4 linked regions of the Callithrix jacchus genome follow. The protein of the gene in region 1 interacts with the protein of each later gene in a pairwise test. Links are inferred from orthologs where the notes say so. Each region holds a gene or a part of one and is shown on either strand. Other genes may lie near its edges. The genes, in order: ZXDC, POGZ, WDR5 and ATXN1.

Region 1 (4,850 bases):
TCCCCTGTCCTCATAGCTTTAATCAGGAGTCTCTTAAAAGTATACCCCCTACCTGCTCCTCTTCTGCCAGTGGTGCCAGCTTCCCTACCATCTCCCCATTGGCAAGCCTCTGGTCCTGCCTCTGCACCTCTGCCCTGCCAGCTGAGGCAGTGTGCCCTTAGACAGTCCTCCCCTCCACTGCCCCTGCTCCTGGGGGATTTTTACCTCTTCACAAGCTGGAGAGAAAGGATCAGTGCTCCTGCTCATCTCTAAAGCAAGCTTCAGCCCCCACCTGATGCTCACTGCTAGCTTCTGACCAGCACAGGGCCACACCCAGCTGCCTGCAGCCTCCTTCCTCCCCCTTCCCAGTCCTCCCCTGCCCAGGCCACCCCTCCTCTCGCCTCTCTGAGCCCTAGCCCTGGTCCTGTTTCCTTGGCGGAAGTCTCTCCTAGGACTACAAACCCACAAATCCATGAGCGTGCCTGTTTCCCAACTCAGCTAGCGTCAGCTCTGCCCTCCGCACTTCTGCGGGGCCTGTGACCACATCCCCTGCCACAGAAAAACTACAGAGTGGAGTGGTGAAGAGGGGCACACACCTGGGCCAAACCTAGACAGCCCCAGCTTATAAATCTCTTCTCTCCTCAAATCTTTCCAAATCACCTTCCCTCCCCATTCTGGCCCCTCAAACTGAAACTCAGGATGCAGGTGGGCTCAGAGGTGCTGAAGCGGGTGTGCTCAAAGATTTGCAAACTGGACACAGCCGCAGGTATCTGTGGCCTGGACATGTTGGGAGGGGCATGTGCCTGCCCTGGAGGGCCTCAGTTTAGTAGGAAAGAAAACAGAACCACTGCAAAGACCTGGACTACCTTCAAGTATAGAAAGGCTGCTAGTGCACCACAGGCAGGCCACCCTAGAGATGGGGTGGCTGAGGCGGCCTGTGGAGCCCCTTTGCCCCAGCCCTGCAGAAGGGCAGGGTGGCCTCAAACAGATCTCATCCTGCTGTAAAATACCGAGGCCTGGGGGCCTTGGGTGGGGAGATGAGCTGCCCTGGGGCTAGACGCAGGGCCATGCACAGACAGGGTCAGAAGTGGATACGCAATCCCAGCAACACTCAGAGCTTGAGCAGATGCAGCAGGAGAGGCTGGGAAAACGGGAGGAGTTGAACTGTAAGGAGACAGGCCCTGGGGCGGGCAGGGGACGCGGCATGCCACATGCTTCTCAGACCTGCGTGACCCTCCCACCCAGCCTGCAGCTGGCCCGTGTGGCTCGCCAGTTCTCACCTGCACCAGCTGGACCTGGATGCCCTGCGCCCCGCAATGCACCCCAGCTGCTGGAGTTGGTCCTGGCCGTCCTCCACTGGGCACCACGAGGCTCCCACACAACCAACTGCTCTGGCTTTCGTGGAAATGGGGAGGACTCATTTTGCCTTCTTTTATTTTTCTCTGAGTAGACTGTGAGGCTCCTAAAATGAAATATAAAAACCAGCACACCCAATCTATAATCTACCAGTCAGGCCCGCCCTCACTGAGGTCTCACTATGGGGAAGACAGCCTCCCCATTAACTGTCATTCTGCATAGCCAAGAGACTTAAAATCACTGATCAGGAAAAATCACGAGTCAAGATGTTAGAAGAAAAAACCATACAAACAAAAACCGCCAGGATTTTGATTTTTAACATGTAAAAACATCACACATATTTTTTTGCCAGATGGTATCAGACCTAAGCTGCACATTCTTGGAAAGCAGAGACTTCCTTATCCTCTAACTCCAACAGCTCCTGGCCAGCAGGAGATCCTGAGCACAACTGAGGACAGCCCAGGGCCCAGAGCCACAGCATCGTAGAACAGGAAGGAAGCAGGAGGTCTCCACATCCCACCTGCTAGTGGACTGCTGCCTCTGTCCAGCTCCTTCTCAAGTCACTACTCCACTGGCTTTACAAATATATGCTTCTTAAAAAAATGATGTAAAGTGCAAAGAAAAAAGGAAAAATCTTAACACCCAGAACAACTGGAAAGCTGCTTCAGGAAGGCCTGGAGGTAGCCTAGAGTACGCGCTGCAGAGACCTGAGCCAGGCTCACCCTGACCCGCCACCCACTCTGCTCCAGGGATCTGGATAAGGAACTCAAGCTCTGGGGCTCAGCATCCTCTGCCTGTAAAATGGGAATGCTAGTCCCAGCCTTGGAAGGTTTTGGAGAGGATTTCATAGTAAATATGTGATTGAAACTTAGAATAGTGCCTGGCTCTTGGTGAGTGCCAAGGAGCTTAGAGGTGCTGTCACTGCTCTGTCCACACATCCCTGCCTGGACACACAGCTATGAATGGCTTCAAAAAAACAACTGTACAATGACTATCATACAAGTCATTCCTAATAAAACATTAAATTGGGTGACTGCTATCCAAGGCAGGCTGTTTTTATGAGGCTGTTTGACCAGAAGGTTCTGAGCAACACCAGGGGTGAGAGCTTGCTTGCCCTGCATACACTACAGCTGCCTCCCTCAAGCGCTCACTTTGCTCCAGATCCCTTCCTGTCTTCTGCAGTGCCCTGGGTCCTGAGAGCTTCACACTCGGCAGGCAAGCCAACTGGGTGCACAAACCTTGGGTCCCCTGCACTCATGCACAGCCTGCTGTCCCTTCCAGGTGCCTCAGGGCTCTTTCTCGTTGAAGCGCAACTACTAACCAGGAGGGAATGGGGAACACAGATTCAGTTCCCCCTCGCTGCAGGGAGATGCACTTCCATTACAAAATACTTCTTTCTGTTCATCCATCAGGTTCTATGCTCCAGAAAACCCAGCAACCCTTGCTCTGGATTATCTCTGACTGTTCTCCACACCTAGTTTCTCTTTTTTAAATTGCTCTATTTGCTTCAGACAGGAGAACAGGGCTGGGTGTGGGGAAAAGAGGCACCTATGGCACAAAACTTAACTCACCTCTTCTTGAGGAAACTTCACATCAGTTCCTAGTACTGCAGTCTATTAAGTCTGCAGCAGCATTATGTCTAAAAAAAATGCACACCTTAATTTAAAAATACTTTATGGCTAACAAATGCCAACAGAGACATGAAGTTAGAACATGCTGCTAGAAAAATGGCACCAACAGATTTGCTGGATGCAGGGTTGCTACAAACCTTCAGTTTGTAAAAAGCACAATAAAGCCAACTGCAAAAAAATGAGGTGTTCCTATATCCTCCGTGAGCTTGTATACTATCCCACTCACCTCCAGAATTTTACCTGAATGCTTTTATGCTTTGAAGTCTTTTATCACCCTAGCATATAAAAATATGTACATAAGGAGGCTGAGGCAGAATTGCCTGAACCCAGGAGGCAGAGGTTGCGGTGAGCCGAGATCACGCCACTGCACTCCAGCCTGGGTAACGAGTGAAACTCCATCTCAAGGAAAAAAAAAAAAGTACATAAACAAATTTTATTTAACTTCTAGGCATTAAAATTTTTGGTTTGAATTGTTATAACTGCAAGTATATATATTGATGCAAAATATATCAAAACAAACTAAATCAGAAACTTTGAGAGATAATTATGATATTAAAAGCAAACATATTGAAAATGCTTTTCAAGAGGAATGGGACTGACTGGTGGTTTTCTTGCCCAGTTAGTTCATGCATCTGTGTCTAAATATTACTTCTTGCTAGAATTAGACATAGCATCTATTCCTGTCAATTAAAGACTCTTTAAAATCAAATGCTCATGTGTCATTACAACTTTGCAGCTGCAGGCTGAACTCATTCAAGTTAGGGGGAACTGTCTGCCCGCGAAGCCCAGCAGCAGGGCCGGTGCTGCAGGCAGAACAGTCGTCACATTAGGCCTGCTTTCTAATAAAAGGCCTGACTTCATTTTTATATTCAGATAAAAATACTGAAACATGTCATTAGGAATATTAGGAAAACTACTGTAGAATAAACTGAGGAAGGCATCGAATAGTGTATCTTTCCAGATTACTTTTAAAAGCAGGCAAGATTTAAATGATGTATATCAAATATTTATTATCAAGTTGTAACATAATCAAGATAAATCTGAGCCATTTATCATGATTCAATGCCAAACATGTAGGCCATGGTCTACGTTACCTATGAAGCAAGAGATATGACCGAATCCTAATATTCCTTTGCAAAATGTGTGCTAGCATGTGCCACTGGAATCATGGGAAAATTCAGAATTGTGCGCAAAATTGGAAATAATTCCACTAATGTTGCTAGACACCATGATTACCTTCCCTTTATACTTAAACCAGTTAGTAACAAAAATGATTCTATCTTTATTAATATATTTTAATGGCATTACTTTTACAACAGGAAACAAGACAGACTCTAACTAGACTATCTCTTGACAAGCTAAATTAGCTTCAACTTCTGTATTAGCATACAACATGAAAAAATCACAGCAGTTTCTCTCTTCAAATCCACACGTTTAATTCAGTGTCGTAAGTAGTCCTGCAAACACCACCACTAATTTGTACTGTTTTAGCATCAGAAGGTATTTTTCTTCCCAGCTAACAAGTCATCTGGGGATAAAAAGTCAATAGCTGAAAAGAACCGCACATGCTTATACAAACATAGGGCTCTTTCCTTAAAAGTAATGCATTCTTTGACAACAGTAGAGGGCTGGCAAAGGTGAGGACTCTCAACAAGAGATGTCCATCCATGCCCCATGGCCCCTCCGCGATGTACGTCAAGCAGAACATCTCAGCATCCACCCCTAGATAACTCTGCACAGGAAGGGGGAGCTGATGAGGCCACCTCATGAAAGTTTTGATGTCGGTATTACTCTGCAGGATGCTTCCCTGAAACCAGTATTGGGACCTGGCCCCGGGTTTGGTGCTCTGGAAGGATATCCTGTTTCTGTGTGCACTCCAATGCA
Region 2 (4,850 bases), on another chromosome or scaffold:
GTAATTGGTCTAACCGTTTGGCCTTGCTGTACGTTCAGCACAATCCCAACCTGATTCATTGCATTTTGTACAGGCCGGACATTCCTTACAGGAAATCCCTGTATTAAAAAGCAAAATGATCTTTAACATGGAGACCAACTAACACTAACAGATTGCAGTATGACCTACATCCAAAAAAATGCCCATACTCTTAATGGTTCTCTCTAGAATTAGAGTTTTCAAATGACTGAGATGAAAAAATTTAGGAAATTTTGGCAAACTTTTGAGTGACAAAGTATCAAAACTAGAGAACAAGCTTTGGTACACATGAGCAAAAATGAAAACCTATTTCCTGACTTAAGAGAGCATCAGGTTTAAAAAAAACCTCATCAACAGACTGGCTCCCTAAAGTGCTAAATGAATACAAGGGGGAGGGTGGGGTGCGGGGTGTTGGGGGGAGAAGAACAGTGTTCACTGGAGTGAGTCAACATACAAACAATCCTAAGATATTGTTCCCAAAGTCTGCTTCGAAGACCATAAACCTTTGGCAAATTCAAAAGCATTTATAACTCAGGAAGACACAGGCAAAGAAATGCATTTGCCTTTAGAATCCATATTCAAAATTAGACTTTGAACTTCAATTCGATACATTATATATCAAATAAGTCATCTTCCCTGTCTTCCAAAGGTCTCCATGAACTCCACCAATGACATATATACATCTCCAAAAGTTAACTAATTCATCCCATGTGAAGTGGAGCAGTCCATGCAAAGGGTGAAAAGTCTCGAGAGCCAAGGGTTAAGGCTTCCTAATCCAAGCTTTCCCACTAATTTCTGCCTAGACTTTAATCAAATTTCTTAATAAACTTCTAAGGGGTTTAAAGAGGATATTACCCAACCATGCTATACCAGGCATTCCACAGTCAGCATCAAATTACAGAACGGTAAATGAGAAAGTAAGGTCAAAAGACAAGACTTAGAACTACTACTAATGGTGCTAAAGACCCTAAGTCAGAGCTTTCAGAGGTTCATATTCTTTCTCTCCTCTAGAAACCTTGAAATTCAGAGTCCTACTCACCTGCGTAGTGATAAATATTGGTTGTGAAGCCACAGGGGAACTAGTCACATGATTGGCATTCTGCATGACCTGAACAGGTCTCAATACTGGTTGAGTAACCATTGTGCCCAGACCTGGGGCTGGATTCTGGGTCAGGATGAGCGGCTGTCCACCTTGCTGGACCAGAGGGTTGCCAGCTAAAAGGTTAAGCGGGGGGAAAAAAAAGGAACGTTAAAAACAATGAATGTTAAACCTACATTTTATTTTATTTATTTGAGACAGGATATCGCTCTGTCACCCAGGCTGGAGTGCAGTGGCACAGTCATGGGTCCCTGCAGCCTCAACTTCCTGGGCTTGAGCCATATTTCCACCTCAGCCTCCCAAGTACAAATCCACATTTTGTAAGAAACAGAAATGATGTCCCAGACGCCAAAATATCCAAGACTGACACTCACCATGTTTAATGTGACCAAACTCGCCAAAAATTTAAGCTTCACCCAAATCTACAACTAACAGAAAAACAGATGGGTAGGGGAGGTTCACTAACATTTCACCCATATGTCTTAACTGGGGATGAAAGACACATTAGAATTCTATGTGACTATCACCTTGACTCTCATGATTTAAGGTGACCACACATAATCTCCCCCACCAAATCAGCACAGAACAAAATATGTTAAGTCTTTTTCCATATTTTAACTAGGTAAAACCTATTTTATTAGAATATAATTTGTTAGCTAATCCCCCTTAATTCTTTAAAAACAATATTCATCAACAAACATTAATTCAGCAAGTACACAGAATCTGAAGAATGGTTTCTCTTCCTAGTAAGTTAAATCTGAGAAATGCAAGATTCTTTAAGCAACCACTGTCTTTTAGAAGGGGACCCAGAGACTGACAGGCTACCTACCACCTTTCTCTGCATGTCATCAGGGCTGATAAACAGAAGACCCAGACAAAAACTAACCCACACCAAGTAAAAATGACATGATTTCAGAAGATAATCATTCATTCATGAATAAAAATATGAATAAACAGGGCTATTACTGAAATATCTTCAACTCTTCATTTGTGAGAAAATAATTTCATAAATATTTTTAAGTCCCCTATTTCATGACATTTGGTGAAAACAAAAATCAACACTAAGTTTCCTGATATACAAAGAATACTCAAAACCAGATAGAGAATTTCAGAGAGCCAATATACCTAGGCGAAAGAGTCAAGCAGGCTAGGCACAGTGGCTCACACCTGTAATCCCAGCATTTGGGAGAGTGAGGCAGGTGAATCACTTGGGGCCAGGAGTTCAAGACCAGCCTGGCCAACATGACAAAACCCCGTCTCTGCTAAAAATACAAAAATTAGCTGAGCATGATGGTGCATACCTGTAATTCCAGCTACTTGGGAAGTTGAGGCAGAATTGCTTGAACCAGGGAGGTGGAGGTTGCAGTGAGCCAAGATTGTGCCACTGCACTCCAGCCCGGGAAACAGAGCAAGACTCTGTCTCAAAAAACAAAAAACCAAAGAGTTAAGCAAAATATTGTCTCAACTTTTTACCCAAAATCACCAGAATAGGACAGGCCCCTCTGAAATGTACATTCCACTTGGCAGGTCCATCACCACAGTTAACTACAAAGCTACACCACCAAAGGAATAGGTATGTAGGTGGCTACTAATGGGCCAGCAGTGGCTCATCTCACACTCTCTCAGAAACTGAGAGCTCATCAGTAGACTAGACCCTCAGTTACTGAGCCAGAAGACTAGTGATTGTAGAGGCAGCTAGACAAATAAAACAGAGAATTCCAGCAAGTTCTATCCATGTTAAATTATACTGGCAATGTATTGATGGTGGGTTTTTAAAATCTTTTAAATGCTTTATTATGGAGAAGTTAAAACATACAAAGAAACAGAACACTACGGTGAACCCCTCCCTATACACCACCCTGCTTCGTTAATTATTAACGCACGGCAAGTCTTAGTTCATCTATACCTCCTATACATGTACTAGTTCCCATATTACTTTAAAACGAGTTCTAGATCATATCATCTACAAATATTTCAAAATGTACCTCCTACATAAGGATTTCAAAAAAAGATAAAGAATCATACCAACATAACTCCCGAACATTTAATATCAAATACCCAGTCAAAATTCAAATTTACTTATTTGCATTTTTTAAAGCGTTTGTCTGAATCCAGTTACAAAATGTTGGCAAAGTGCAATGGATGAACAACACTCAAGTCTTTTAATCCACAGGTTCCCCAACCATCTCTTTCTATCCTTTTGAAATTTATAGTTGAAAAACATTGACTAAGCAGAAGTCTGGATTTTCTAGTCATTGTTTTAACTGCTAGGACAAAAGAAAATAAATTATCTCGTTTATCCTAATCCTAAAAAACATTTAGATAATTCCCGGCTATCATATCCAGTTTGGGAAGATAAAAAAAAAAAAGATAATTCCTGGCTCAACATCCCAATTAAATACAAGAAGGGAAAGATGGAGGTTTTTTGCATTTATGTGAAATCAATCAGCATTCCCAAGTCTCTTACAGACAGACCAGGTTTCCATGAAACCCATAAATACCATTATAAAAAATGTTAACAGCATTTTCTCCAAATATTTTCCCTTATATCAGGGTCAAGTCTAAATTCTGGTGGAATGTTAGAATTTTTCCAAAAATATGGGACAAAGAAAATAGTGGTTTTCAAAGACCAGATTAGATTCACGATTCAATGGAAAGCAAAAGCCAGACTATGGAAAGTCACACTGGGTAAATTATACCTGCTTATTTAGAAGCATTTTAAATAATTTCTGCAATCTTTTAAACCTTAGCTCAAAGGAATTCTGACAATTCAAGTGTCTTACAAGGTTCTCTTTCCAGAGGATGAAAAGGCAATTAGAATTCTGGTACTTTAAAAAAAAGCCTTTAAAAGGATTATCCAGCCTGGAGCAGTGGTAGGCACCAGTAGTCCCAGCTATTCAAGAGGCTGAAGCAGGAGGATCACTTGGGCCCAGGAGTTTGAGTCCAACCTGGGCAACACAGTGAGACCCCAACACAAAAACAAAACAAGGCTCACGTCTATAATATCAGCACTTTGGGAGGCTGAGGCAGGCGGATCACTTGAGGTTGAAACCAGCCTGGCCAACATGGTGAAAGCTCACCTCCACTAAAAATACAAAAGTTAGCTGGGCATGGTGGCACATGCCTGTAACCCCAGCTATTTGGGTGACTGAGGCACAACAATCATTCAAATCCAGGCAGCGGAGGCTGCAGTGAGCCAAGATCCTGCTACTGCACTCCAGCCTGGGCAGCAGTGTGAGAAAGACTCAAAATAAAAAACAAAAAACAGCCAGGTGTGGTGATGTGTGCCTGTAGTTCCAGCTACTTGGGGGCCTGAGGCGGGAGGATCGTTTGAGCTTGGGAGGTGGAGGATACAGTGAGCCAGCCATGTTCGTGCCACTACTACACTCCTGCCTGGGTAAGAGAGTGAGACCCTATCTCAAACAAAGCAAAGCAAACCCAACAAACAAACAAACAAACAAATGAAACAAAACAACCCACCTCATTGAAAATGAATTCCATGAGTTTTCTTCTGCTCTTCAGACATCATATAGCACCGAGCACATTATGAATTTAAGAACAACAAATCAAGGAAGTATGCAACTAAGTTTCTCCCTCTAAGTTATTTTGATTGATTTTTTTTTCCTTCTTTTTTTTATTTCCAGATGGAGTTCTGCGCTGTCACCCAAGCTGGAGTGCGATGGCATGATCTCGGTCCACTGCAACCTCCACCTCCCAGATTCAAGTGATTCTC
Region 3 (5,443 bases), on another chromosome or scaffold:
ACAACAGTTTGGGTAGGATATAAAAGGATTTAAAACTTAGTAAAGCAAATTTCTTGCCTTTGTTAAATTGCTCTTCCTTGCTGGCGTTATATGGTTTCAGAATTTTGTTTTATTTTATTTTATTTTATTTTTTGAGATGGAGTCTTGCTCTTGTTGCCCAAGCTGGAGTTCAGTGGCCTGATACCGACTCACCCAACCTCCGCCTCCCAGGTTCAAGCGATTCTCCTGCCTCAGCCTCCTAAGTAGCTGAGATTACAGGCATGCACCACCATAACCGGCTAATTTTGTATTTTTAGTAGAGACAGGGTTTCTCCATGTTGGTCAGGCTGGTCTCGAACTCCCGTCCTCAGGTGATCTGCCCACTTTGGCCTCCCAAAGTGCTGGGATTACAGGCGTGAGCTATCCTGCCTGGCCGGGTTCAGAATTTTAGCTATGACTGCAGGGTGGATTGCAAAAACGCTGAACAGGGTTAGAGGAGTTTCTCATTTTTACTAGAAGGCTCTATCTCCTGAGGGTGGGGTGGCTGGGAACCTGGTTTGAGTTCTGAGGCTTCTGTGAGCCAGTCCCTTATTTTGCTCTGCCCGGAGGGCTGAAGGACTGGAAATACTTTTGCTTTGGGGCTGGAACCAGGGCTGCAGTTTGGGAGGCGGTGCTAATTTGGAAGAGGAGGCGGGGTCTGGTAAACACTTTAGCAGCATTGGGCAGTGGGAATTAGGGAATTTAGGGCAGGGGGAAGCTGGTTCTGAGTTTTAAACTGGGGAGTTGACGGATGAGAGCTGGAATTTTAGGAGTTTCTCTGTCTGGAGGTTTGGAAAAGAGCCAGGTGGGAGCTAGGGTGGGGAGGGGTGGGGAGAAGTAGATGGATCTGAGATCTGAAGCAGTGTGGGGGAGAACAGCAGGTGATGGGCGGGGATTCTGGCCCAGGCAGCCAGGTGGACGGAATGGAGATGGCCTTCATCCGAGCTTGGTTTGCTAACCTGTGACAGTCACTGTTCCATGCTCCAGGGCACCTGGCCCAAGGGACCAGGCCTTTTGGGCACACAGATCCACACGCAGCCCTGCCGGACCACACAGGAACCTTCCCTTCTGTGTCCTTCCTGGGAAGGGGATTCCAGACCATCTGCCAGTCTTTCGGTTCAGCCTTTCTGACAAGCGCACACCTCACTCTCCCCGGACATTTTTATTTCAAATGCTCTGTCCCTTTGTTTGCACGGGTTCCTGTGTCATATTCTGTGTTCCCATTTTAAATTGGAGAATAAGTGACTGCATGTTATTCTTCCCACAGGCCTAGTTGAGCGGGTAGGGAGGCCGTACCTACCTCCAAGGCTCTAAGAAGTGAAGCAGGAGGCGAGAATGCACAGTAGTCAGGGCTAGACGACCGGGCCTCACCTTCTAGGCCCCGGGGTCCTCCTCTGGGGACCACCCCCTTGTACCCGTAGGTGAAAATACCCGCCCAGGAGGAAAGGGTTGGCCCCAGAGAGCCCTGTGCAAAGTGAGTTTGCGCACTGCGGAGCGGGCGCGGGTGTCTCCAACGCGGCTCTCCCAGTCCGCGGGGCTGGGGAGGAGCAGGTGCGCGCACCGCTGGCTCTGTGCCAGCAGAGGCGGGAAGAGCAGCCGGCCCCGCGGGGAGGCGCAGCCCGGGCTTCCGAGCTCAGTGAACGCGCAGGCTCTGGGGCTTCTAAATGGGCCGGAGTCGTCCTGCCCGCCCAGGGTAGGCGGCCACATGGGGGGCACTGCGCCCGGGCGCGGCCCCAAGTGCTTTCCAAACGCCCACTGCCGCTGTCATCCGTACCGGCGATGATCCAGAAGGGGCCTGGTCGCCCGGGGAGGTGCCCCGGTCCGCCTCGATTCCGGGGACAACGCCAGGCGACGCCACCTGCGCGGGTCCCGGAGGGCCTCTGGTCCCAGTGTGCAGGGCGTACTCAGTCTTGGAAACGCGAGAGCACACTAGCACTTTCCTGTATGTATTATTATACTTCCATTTTTAGGAAGTGCATTAGAAGGGCCTGCGGCAGCTGAATTCGGGATTAAAGCTTTAAAGCGGGAAGCGTGCTCCCGGCGCGGTTCCTTTAAAGCGTTGGGCCTGCCCGAGGCATTCTGGCCGCAGCCGCGGCCCGTAGCGCTTCTCCGAGAGGCGGGCTTTGTGCGCTCGCCCCGCCTTTGGACAACGCCCCCTCCCCTCGCGCACGCGCACTGCGCCCCCGCCGCCTGGCGCCCGCCGGAGCTGCCGCCTTGTCGCGCAGAGTCCGCGCTCCCGCCCAGGAGGCGGCCGACGCGACGTCCCGAGCGCCCGGCCCCGCCGCCGCGGCCCGACAGGTAAGTGGGCAGCCGCCCGGCCCGGGGGGCACGAGGCGGGGAGTGGGACGGCGCCAGAAGCCCTCACATCGTCCCCGGCCGCCGCACGTGTTCCTTGCCGGGCCTCCGGCCAGGCCCAGCCCCCGGCGCTACCCCCACTGCGGCGGCCCCGCCCGGGACCCCCTCACGGGCTCCTCGGTGGACGGCCGCGCGCGCAGGCCCCTGCACCCCGCCCGCCCCCACCGGCGCTCCCACCTCCGATTCCCTGGCGGGCCGCTGACAAGGCCCGAGCGCCGGTACTGGGGCCTCTCCCTCGGCGGCGCGCCCGGCCTCACATCGCTCCTCTTCCTCCATCTCCAGGGAAGGACCAGACCCACGAGCCAGTCAGTCCCCGGACGTGGCGCTTCCCTTCGTAGAAACGCCCCAGCCCGCTCCCGCCGCTCACTCCAACCGGAGGCAGCCAGGCTGCACCTCGCTAGGTGGGGTCCTGGGGTTCGGGTCCTCGCTCCTGAACGGAGGGTCCCCCGCTCCTCCTCGCGCGGGGCCGCAGACCAGTCCTGGCCGGTCTGCGAGAGCCATCTTGAGCGGTTACGTTCCCGGACTAGACGGAGGTTGGGCTGTTACTTCCCGCTAACGACCCTCCCTGCTGTCTCGCAGGCAAGTTTCCAGCTACCCAGGTCTGTTTTCCTATCTCCCAAATGCTTACGCTGTGACCTGGGCAGGTGCGGTGCTAGCCGGTGGGGAAGACAGATGGGTAAGCGAAGGACCCAGGCCGGGAGCCCGTCCAGGACCTGAGATGCGCAGCGCCGGGTTCCCACCGCTGTCGGGCCGGCCACCTGGCTGCTGTTTGGGATGCACATTCATTCCGGTCTGCACGCAGCATGCTCTCTTGGACAGCATGCCGCAGGCCGATTCCTGGGCTCCACCTTGGGGACTGAGGGACTCCGGAATCCGCCAGTGGCATCCAGCCCAGGAGAGCATACTGAGCTTTAGTTGCTGGGCTTCAGGTGGTCAGGCTTACCTGGATGAAAAGCAGCAGCTGCTAGGAGGAGCCAGGCCGCACCTGGGCGGGGGCGGTCAACTCCTCATCACCGTGCATGGAACCTTCTTGGCCCCCACTTTTTCAGCATCAAGTCGCCAACCTTCCTGTTCCCTTAAAGTGATTCTTCACAGAAACTCCTGGGTGTTTATGAAAATGCCAAGCTTTGGGCTGGGTGTGGTGGCTCACACCTGTAATCCAGCACTTGGGGAGGCTGAGGCAGGCAGATTGCTGAGCTCAGGACTTCGAGATCAGCCTGGGCAACATGGCAAAACCCGTCTTTACTAAAAATGCAAAAAATTAGCCGGGTATGGTGGTGCTCGCCTGTAATCCCAGCTTCTCTGGAGGCTGAGCATGAAAATCGCTTGAACTCCGGAGGCGGAGGTTGTAATGAGCCAAGATCTTGCCACTGCACTCCAGCCTCGACCCAAAAAAAAAAAAAAAAAAGAAAATTTCAAGCCTAGACCCCACCACTGAGGTAGAAATTGGTGGGTGTGTAGTGTCAAGAAACTCTATTCTTAAAAGGCATGTTAAAGTTAAGGGTTTTTTTTGTTTCTTTGTTTCTTTTACTTGTTAATGTTTTTAGAGCCCAAAGGGTGGGGTGGGTGGGCCTGAGCTGGGAGGGGTTGAGCTCCTTTTGTAAGACCGCCAGTCTGCTGCGCCTTGCCTGAGGGTGTTTCAGGCATCTGGACTCACCTAGGTGAGTAGACAGCTGACTGGAGCTGCTCGGCCCTCTGAGCTGCCGGTTCTGCCTTCTGTTCCTCTGGTGTTTCACTTGGGTAGGGAACGGCCACACTTCACTCAGCTCTTGCCCTGACTTGGCTGTCTCCGGCTAGGACCTTTGCAGTGGACTTTGCAGCTTTTTGCTTGGATTTCCGTAGCTCCTCCCTCTCCTTGTACTTGTCCAGCGTGCCAGGGAGAAGGCAGCAGTTGGGTTAAATTGCCATGGCCAGGTTGCACTTATGACAAGCACCATGTAGCCGGCATTTACCGAGGACTGGCTTTGTACTGGCACTTTGTACTCTGGGCAGCTCTACAGGGCCTGCCCCTCCCCTTCCCCACTCGTGTGTGTGTGTGTGTGTGTGTGTGTGTGTGTGTGTATGTGTGTGTGTGAGAGTGTGTGATGCTCAGGCTTTAGATGCATCGTGATCCATCCTTTCGAAGGGAATCTTTGCTGCAGGCGAAATGGATCTGTGGCCACACCTGTTTTCTGGAAAGTGGGTGTTGTAGTTTCTCTGCCTTCCTCTTGCATCAAGACTTTGAGACTCTTTTTGATGCCTTCCGTTTCACCTTAATGTTACAAGCAGCCTTGCAAGATTTCGGTTTCAAGCTGCAAACTAGAACGTACAGTGTGTAAACTCGTTAGATGGATGGTGGTGCTAGCTTCCAGAATTCTGATGGCCAGTGGTATTTGCAAGCATGTCTCAGTGGCTTGCTTTTTTAGTGATGCTGTGCCTCCTTTCAGAATAACCTGTTGTGCTTTTATGAGACGTATTCAAGTAATGGATCTATTCTCGAGATGGAGGAAACTAGCTGCTTACTAGAGAGATTTTGGGTAAATTTTATTGTCAAGCTGAAACAGTCTTTTTTCATTCCCTTGCATGTTGGTCTTGCTCGTAGAATATCCCTGGTGTACTTGAGGCTGCTTTTCCAGAAGGCAGGTTGTGGGAATTCCAGCAGGCAGAGCTGGCTCTGGCTCGCTCTGCTCTCTTTGCTGAGTTTTGTAGCTCCTCACTGGGGGCGAGGCCTGTGAGCTGTTAGCATTCTGGAAGGCAGCTTGGTGCCTGCAGCCTGTGCATGGAGGCACCGGAGCCCACCCTTGAGGCGCAGACCGCTGGGTGCCTTCAAGCTTGGCTGTGAATGTGATTGCATCAGTGGGTGCATTTTAGGATTTGGCTGTGCTCCCAAACTTCTGCACCCTGAAGCCATCTTCTGTCATTTGGCATGTTAGCTTACTGTCAGGAAACCTTTTGCTGTTCTTTTTATAATATGTACAGGGCTTTATTTTATTTTTTTTTTTTGAGACAGTTCACTCTTATTGCCCAGGCTGGAGTGCAATGGCGCGATCTCAGCCCACCGCACCTCCACCTCCCGGTTCAAGTAATTCTC
Region 4 (5,546 bases), on another chromosome or scaffold:
AATCCTTTTAACTTACTATCAAAGATCATTCAAATCACACCCAATAGATCCAAATTAAGAATGAATACATTCAGAATGTCTGCCTACTGTCAGTACCAGTTTTTGTTATGATGGCTGTCAAGTTTAAAAATGTGACAATGAGAATATATTTTCCGAATAAGTTATTCCTCTGAGTAAATCCTTTAGAAATCCAGCCATTGCTATGGGCAATATAGGTTCCAAAGGATGAACGCTCTTCACACTTGAAAGGGTTAAGTGCCTGCATGGCCAAAGGCACCAGACTGCAAAAGAAATGTTGCTTTAGTAAGCTCTGAAAGGTTTCTAACAAGTACCAAATACTTGTTGATCTGCTCACAATAAACACCAGCAGGATTGTCAGGCTCCTTTCACTGTATGGGGAGACGCATTTACATACTGCACCTAGGAAGAACAGCTTGTTGGTCTCCTTTATAAAAGTTGAGTAGCTAGAAGCCTCCTTCAGTGTCTCCCATCCAAATGACTGAAAGAAGATGCAATTGAAATAGTGGAGTCTTTCGTCTAGCTTGGGCAGCATAAATGCTGTGCATAAAACATTTGGAGTAGTTCAGGCACAAGACAAACCCACCTGAATGGACGAGGAACACTGTCTGTTGCCATGGCAGCCTGATCTAATTACATGAGTGATCAGGGCTGGAGTAAGTGCACTGAAAACCTACACCACTGACAGCCAGCCAGGAGGTTCAAGGGAGCCCTTCAACCTCTGCTTTATGTAGAAGATGGCATTCAAGTCCATTTATTTGCAGAGCTGCTAAAATATTGACTGATGCATGCACAGCGAGAGGGCAATCAGAGGAGATTAAGTGCCACAGCATTAGCCGTTATGGTGCAATCCCTTTCCAAGAGTTCCTGTGCAGGATTTTCTCTTCTCTCTGGTGGTTTCCTCAGGCATAAGCTTCATTCCAAAAAAAAAAAAAAAGCCTAAGTATCAAACTACCTTTACCCACCAAATAAACCGAAGGGTGGGCTTAACGGGGGCTTCTAGGAACTGCAGCCTCCTAAAAAACCCAAACGGAAATGTCTTAGCTAACACTGTTGAAAAAGTAGCTATGCCTAAAAATAACCACCAAGTAACTACCCACTGCTGTGTGCAATATATAACGACAATGTTTAAATATTAAAAACAGCCTGCATTATAAAACGCAAATGTCATTGAGATGTGCACTACTAGATTGCCAAAGGAGAACTTATTTGCATACACACATTCCTGTGCATGCACGAATGTGCAGGCAGAAAGCCACTGTAAGGCACCAGTTTTTATTCTGTGGGTGTAATAGGGTCTTCTAATTTTGCTAATTGTATCCTGTGGATCTCACAGGGAAGCTCAGAATCTCTTCGGGGACAGAACCAGTTTGGAGGAGTCCCTACTGCACAGCATACGGTAAACAAAATAAAAATAGCTTGCCTTTCTTGTTAGCCACATCGCGCATTATATAACCAGCTTCTTCCGACTGGCTTTTTTTTTTTTTTTTTTTTTTTTTTTTTTTTGCCCTTACTACTCTTCAGCAATTTCCCAATCTTCTCAAGTATTTACATTACCTTTTTATCTGTAGGATAATACCAAGAAAGCAAAACAAAACAGACCAGCCACCGGCTCGAACCGAACCCCTGCCGTCCTTAGAAACTGATCTTTTTGTTTTGTTTTGTTTTCTGGCAGAGTCTGGATCACCACCCTACTTCCACCCCCCGCTAAGGTTCTTGCTCAATCTCCCTAGAAAACCTGAATTGTTTCACCGCTTCCAGTCAGCCCCCTACGTGGTTTGAAATAAAATGAAAGCACAGCCTCGGAGTTCAAGAAGGCAGCCTGAAGGCGGGGGGCTGAGAAGGGGTCGGGCGATGCAGAGTCAGCCAAGTGGCCGAGGAGGGGCCCCCTCCGCATCACGACAGCCCTCGCCCCCCGCCCGGCGCGCACGCACACACACATATACACATTCACACTCACTCACACACTCACTCACACGCCGCGCTCCGACACCGCCTCACCTCTCGCTCCGCCCGTCCGGCCCCCTTCCCTGCCCCCTGCGGGACCGGCCTGAGCGCAGCGCTGGAACCACGTAGGAGGCGGCGGCGGCGGCGGCCCCGGCCCCGGGAGTGGCAGAGTCTTCGGCCCGGCCCAGAGTGAACGAGCAGCGGGGCTCCAGGGCGCATCCCAATCCCCGCAGCGCCTCCTCCTCCTCCTCCGCCGCCGCCTCCTCCTCCTTCCCCTCCTCCTGGCTTCATTCACCCTCCCAGCAGCCGCGCAGCCGTTCACTCCCGGCTCCGGGCAGCGCCTGCCGCGGCTCCTCGGTTCCTGCCGCGGGCGCTGGCAGGGGCGCCGGCCCGGACTGGGGCGCTCGCGGGCTCGCGGCTCCGGGCGGCGGCGGCCGCTGCACAGGATCAGGAAGCGGCCGCACCAACAGGGCGGCGGTGGCGGCGGCAGCCAGGGCCGCCACCGCCACTCCAGCCGCGCTCCAGGCACCCGCACACCCGCTACCCCCGCGGGGTCCCCGAGGCCACCCCTCCGCGCCCCCCGCCTGGCACCCGGCCGAGCGCAAAGTCCCGGCCCCTTGGCTGGAGCAGTCCCTTCCCAGCCCACAGCCGTACAGCCGGCGAGGCCGGCCACGGAGGGAAGACCCTCGCCCAGGGGCGCCGAGGCCGGGCGTCCACCCGCGGGGAAGTGCAGCCCTCCCCGAGACCCCCCCTCTCTCACCGCCCTCTCCGGAGAGGAGGAATGGGAAGAGGGCGGCCGGGAAAGGGACCAGCCCCCCACCCCGGCCGCCGCCGCCTCCCCCTGCGCCACCCGGAGGGAGGAGGACATGGCTCTCGGCACTCGCGACCGGACCAGCAGTCTCCAGAGCGGGGCGCCGCCGCCGCTCTCCCTGCCCGCGCCCCCCGCCCGGGCGCGCCCCCTAGCCCGGCGGGCGCCCACCCGGCCCCTGACAGCCCCCCCGAACGGCCGCCCCTGCGCCCAGAGTGGGGGTGTCGGCCTGGGAGCCTGGAACCGGGGACGGTTGTATGTACACACACACGCACGCACACACACACACAACACGACGCGTCGATTCCCTTCGCTCCTCTTCCAGCTGTTTTCCGTGCAGCCGATTGGGGTTTTAGGGTTTGTTTGCTGGTTGTTGCTTTTGCCCCTCTCGGGAGATAGGGAGAGGAGGGATTTTAATCTAAATAAGGGGAGAAGGGGATGGGGGAGGGGGGAAAAGAATCAGAGGAGGAAAAAAAATAGCCACTTACTGTAAAGTGTAAATGGATCTGGGGTTGCGTGGGGAAGGGGGGCAGAGGGAGAGAAACAATGTCTGGCGGCTGCTCTTGCTCTGGCTGCTGCTCCCCGGGGCTTGTTTTGGATCCCCCTGCAGTGAAACAGGTCCTGTACGGCTCCGCCACTGTAGTAGAAATGATGTCTGCGGTATACTCTGCTCTCTCCTCCTCCTCCTCCTCCTCCTCCTCCTCCTCCCCCTCCTCCCGCTTCCCTCCCCTCCCTCCTCCCTCCGCCCTCCCTCCCTCGCGCTCTCTCGCGCTCGCTCGCTCGCTCGCTCGCTCCAGTATGTAAATGTGTAATAGAAGCCAAATATGGAGCAGTTGGCTGCCGCCGCCGCAGCTCAAGGATCCGACTTCATGGGGGTGGGGGGCACCCTCTGGCGGGCGGCCCGGCGAGCAGCACCGAGCCCTGAGCGCACCGCGCGGCGGCTGGCCCGCGCCCTTAACCCTTCGCGGCGCGCGGCCCGGGGAGGCGGGCACCTTTCCCCAAGAGTGGCTCGGGACGGGCCGCGGGGGAGGGGAGGAGCGGGGTGGAGGGCAAGGTTCCTTCCAGGTTTGGGAAGGGGGCGGGGAGCTGCGCGATGAGGTAATTGGAGCGGTGACCGGTCGGTCCTCGAGCGCCTCCCTGGGTCCCTGCACCTAGTTGGAGGGGACCGAGCGACCGCGGGGCGCTGCTCAGGCAACCTGGGGGACTCCCCCAAGGGGTGTCAGGCTTCAGCTGGCAGCCAATGAAACACCCCAGGGGGGAGGGGAGGTCGGCGGGTTCTAATCCCAACGTGCCCTGGGTCCCCGGCGCCCCGAGCCGCGTCTAAAAGGGCTCCCTCCGATCATCAGCTGCACGTTATTTAACCCGCAAACCGGCGTCGCTGCGGCGTTCGGGAACCCAGGCCCGGGGGCCTCGGGGATTGCCTCTGCGTGCAACTCCGCAAAGTTTCCCGGGCCCCCCGACTGCACAGGCGCCCTCACCTTCGCTGCCTGAGAACGCCCGGCCGTGCCCTCGCTCTCTCCGCAGGTCCGGAAATCGGCTTCGATCTGGAGCTACTTACTCCGCTCTAGCCTGGAAAGGAGACCCGCGCACTCCTCTCGCAGCTAATTTGGGATCATTAATTTAATCGGAAATGAGGTAACCAGTGTAAGAGACAGAGAAAGCCACCGGAGCATCAAATGGCAGCTCTCGGGAATCGATGAAGAACTTGAGTCTGGACTCTGTGTTTTAGTGCGGTCCGCGACTCCCACCACCCCGCCCGCCCCTCCGCCTGTCCCGCCGCCAGGTGTGACCTCCACGCGAAGGAATCTTCGTCGGCTGGGCTAACATTGCCAACAGGTGTGGCACCTGGAGGACTGGGAGGTGCCTCCAGACTACGGGCGCTCAGCGTGGCGTTTTTGCTGCAGATGATTCTGGAAGGCCAGTAGGTGTCGGGCAACATTTGACCTCCTTCAGGTGCTTAGAACTAGGTGTCTGGAAACATGACCCCTTCGCGTAAGTTTCTTTCTGAAAGCCACCGCTCTTGACTGTAAGCTGTATTTGAGAGACCTTTTGGCTGAGTTTACTTATGACCTAACGGTTAGTCACCCACTGAGGCAGGGCAGAGAATGATCAAAACATGTGTCAGGTTTTACACAACTCTGGCCTGCAAGAGCCTACGTGCTCCTGAAATAATAAACGTACGAGCGAGGAAAGTGCAGAGCCCCGGAAATATTTTTTCTCACATTTTTGATATGCCGTGCACATGTAAGTGGCTATTTAAATGTAACTACTACTGTTCACTCTTACTCATTTCTACAACTCCCCCCCCCATTTAAAAATCGATGATTGTTACAGTTTGAAACCTCGGGTTAGTCTAAAGTGACATTGTTGGTCTCCTTACAGCCTCTAGTGGACAGTTAACATCAGTTTCCTGAAAAGGCTCTGATAGGTTTTGTTTTGTCAAGGTGAAGGTTAGCGCGTCAGAGCATAACTGGGTAAAATATCCCACACCCCTATCCTCACCCCCGCCCCCAACCCCCTACTTGACAAAGTCGACTTCAGAAAGAAGCAGAAGCTTGTTGGCTTTGTATATAGGAGATGCTGCCGGTATTATTACTGGACTTTTCATGTCAGTTTCAGACAGCTTCCATAAAAACTAAACTCATCTCAAATATTTTTATAACAGAAAATATTGGTTGCCATGTTTTTGGCTTAACTGCGATGTTTTTATTCCAACTCATAATCTGCAAACTGTCCAATCCACCTCCACTCTATTTTTAGACATCTTACATTT

Evidence for each region.
Region 2: the proteins of ZXDC (region 1) and POGZ interact in binary tests that used the Homo sapiens proteins (3 or more experiments, as listed by UniProt). The link is inferred for Callithrix jacchus from reciprocal best matches to the Homo sapiens genes ZXDC and POGZ.
Region 3: the proteins of ZXDC (region 1) and WDR5 interact in binary tests that used the Homo sapiens proteins (3 or more experiments, as listed by UniProt). The link is inferred for Callithrix jacchus from reciprocal best matches to the Homo sapiens genes ZXDC and WDR5.
Region 4: the proteins of ZXDC (region 1) and ATXN1 interact in binary tests that used the Homo sapiens proteins (3 or more experiments, as listed by UniProt). The link is inferred for Callithrix jacchus from reciprocal best matches to the Homo sapiens genes ZXDC and ATXN1.

The regions. Positions count from the first base shown.
Region 1 is NC_133516.1:76,883,661-76,888,510, reverse strand, and holds part of ZXDC (zinc finger protein ZXDC), read right to left. Parts: intron 1,442-4,850; coding exon 1,260-1,441; intron 1-1,259. UniProt on the Homo sapiens protein: Cooperates with CIITA to promote transcription of MHC class I and MHC class II genes.
Region 2 is NC_133519.1:11,336,209-11,341,058, forward strand, and holds part of POGZ (pogo transposable element with ZNF domain), read right to left. Parts: intron 1,234-4,850; coding exon 1,058-1,233; intron 99-1,057; coding exon 1-98. UniProt on the Homo sapiens protein: Plays a role in mitotic cell cycle progression and is involved in kinetochore assembly and mitotic sister chromatid cohesion.
Region 3 is NC_133502.1:182,701,762-182,707,204, forward strand, and holds the start of WDR5 (WD repeat-containing protein 5), read left to right. Parts: upstream 1-2,190; 5' UTR 2,191-2,316; intron 2,317-2,655; 5' UTR 2,656-2,774; exon of another isoform or gene 2,775-2,972; intron 2,973-5,443.
Region 4 is NC_133505.1:13,912,934-13,918,479, reverse strand, and holds the start of ATXN1 (ataxin-1), read right to left. Parts: upstream 3,443-5,546; 5' UTR 3,262-3,442; intron 2,834-3,261; coding exon of another isoform or gene 2,020-2,833; intron 1-2,019. Other genes in the region: uncharacterized protein LOC128931873, read right to left, coding at 2,020-2,833. UniProt on the Homo sapiens protein: Chromatin-binding factor that repress Notch signaling in the absence of Notch intracellular domain by acting as a CBF1 corepressor. Binds to the HEY promoter and might assist, along with NCOR2, RBPJ-mediated repression. Binds RNA in vitro.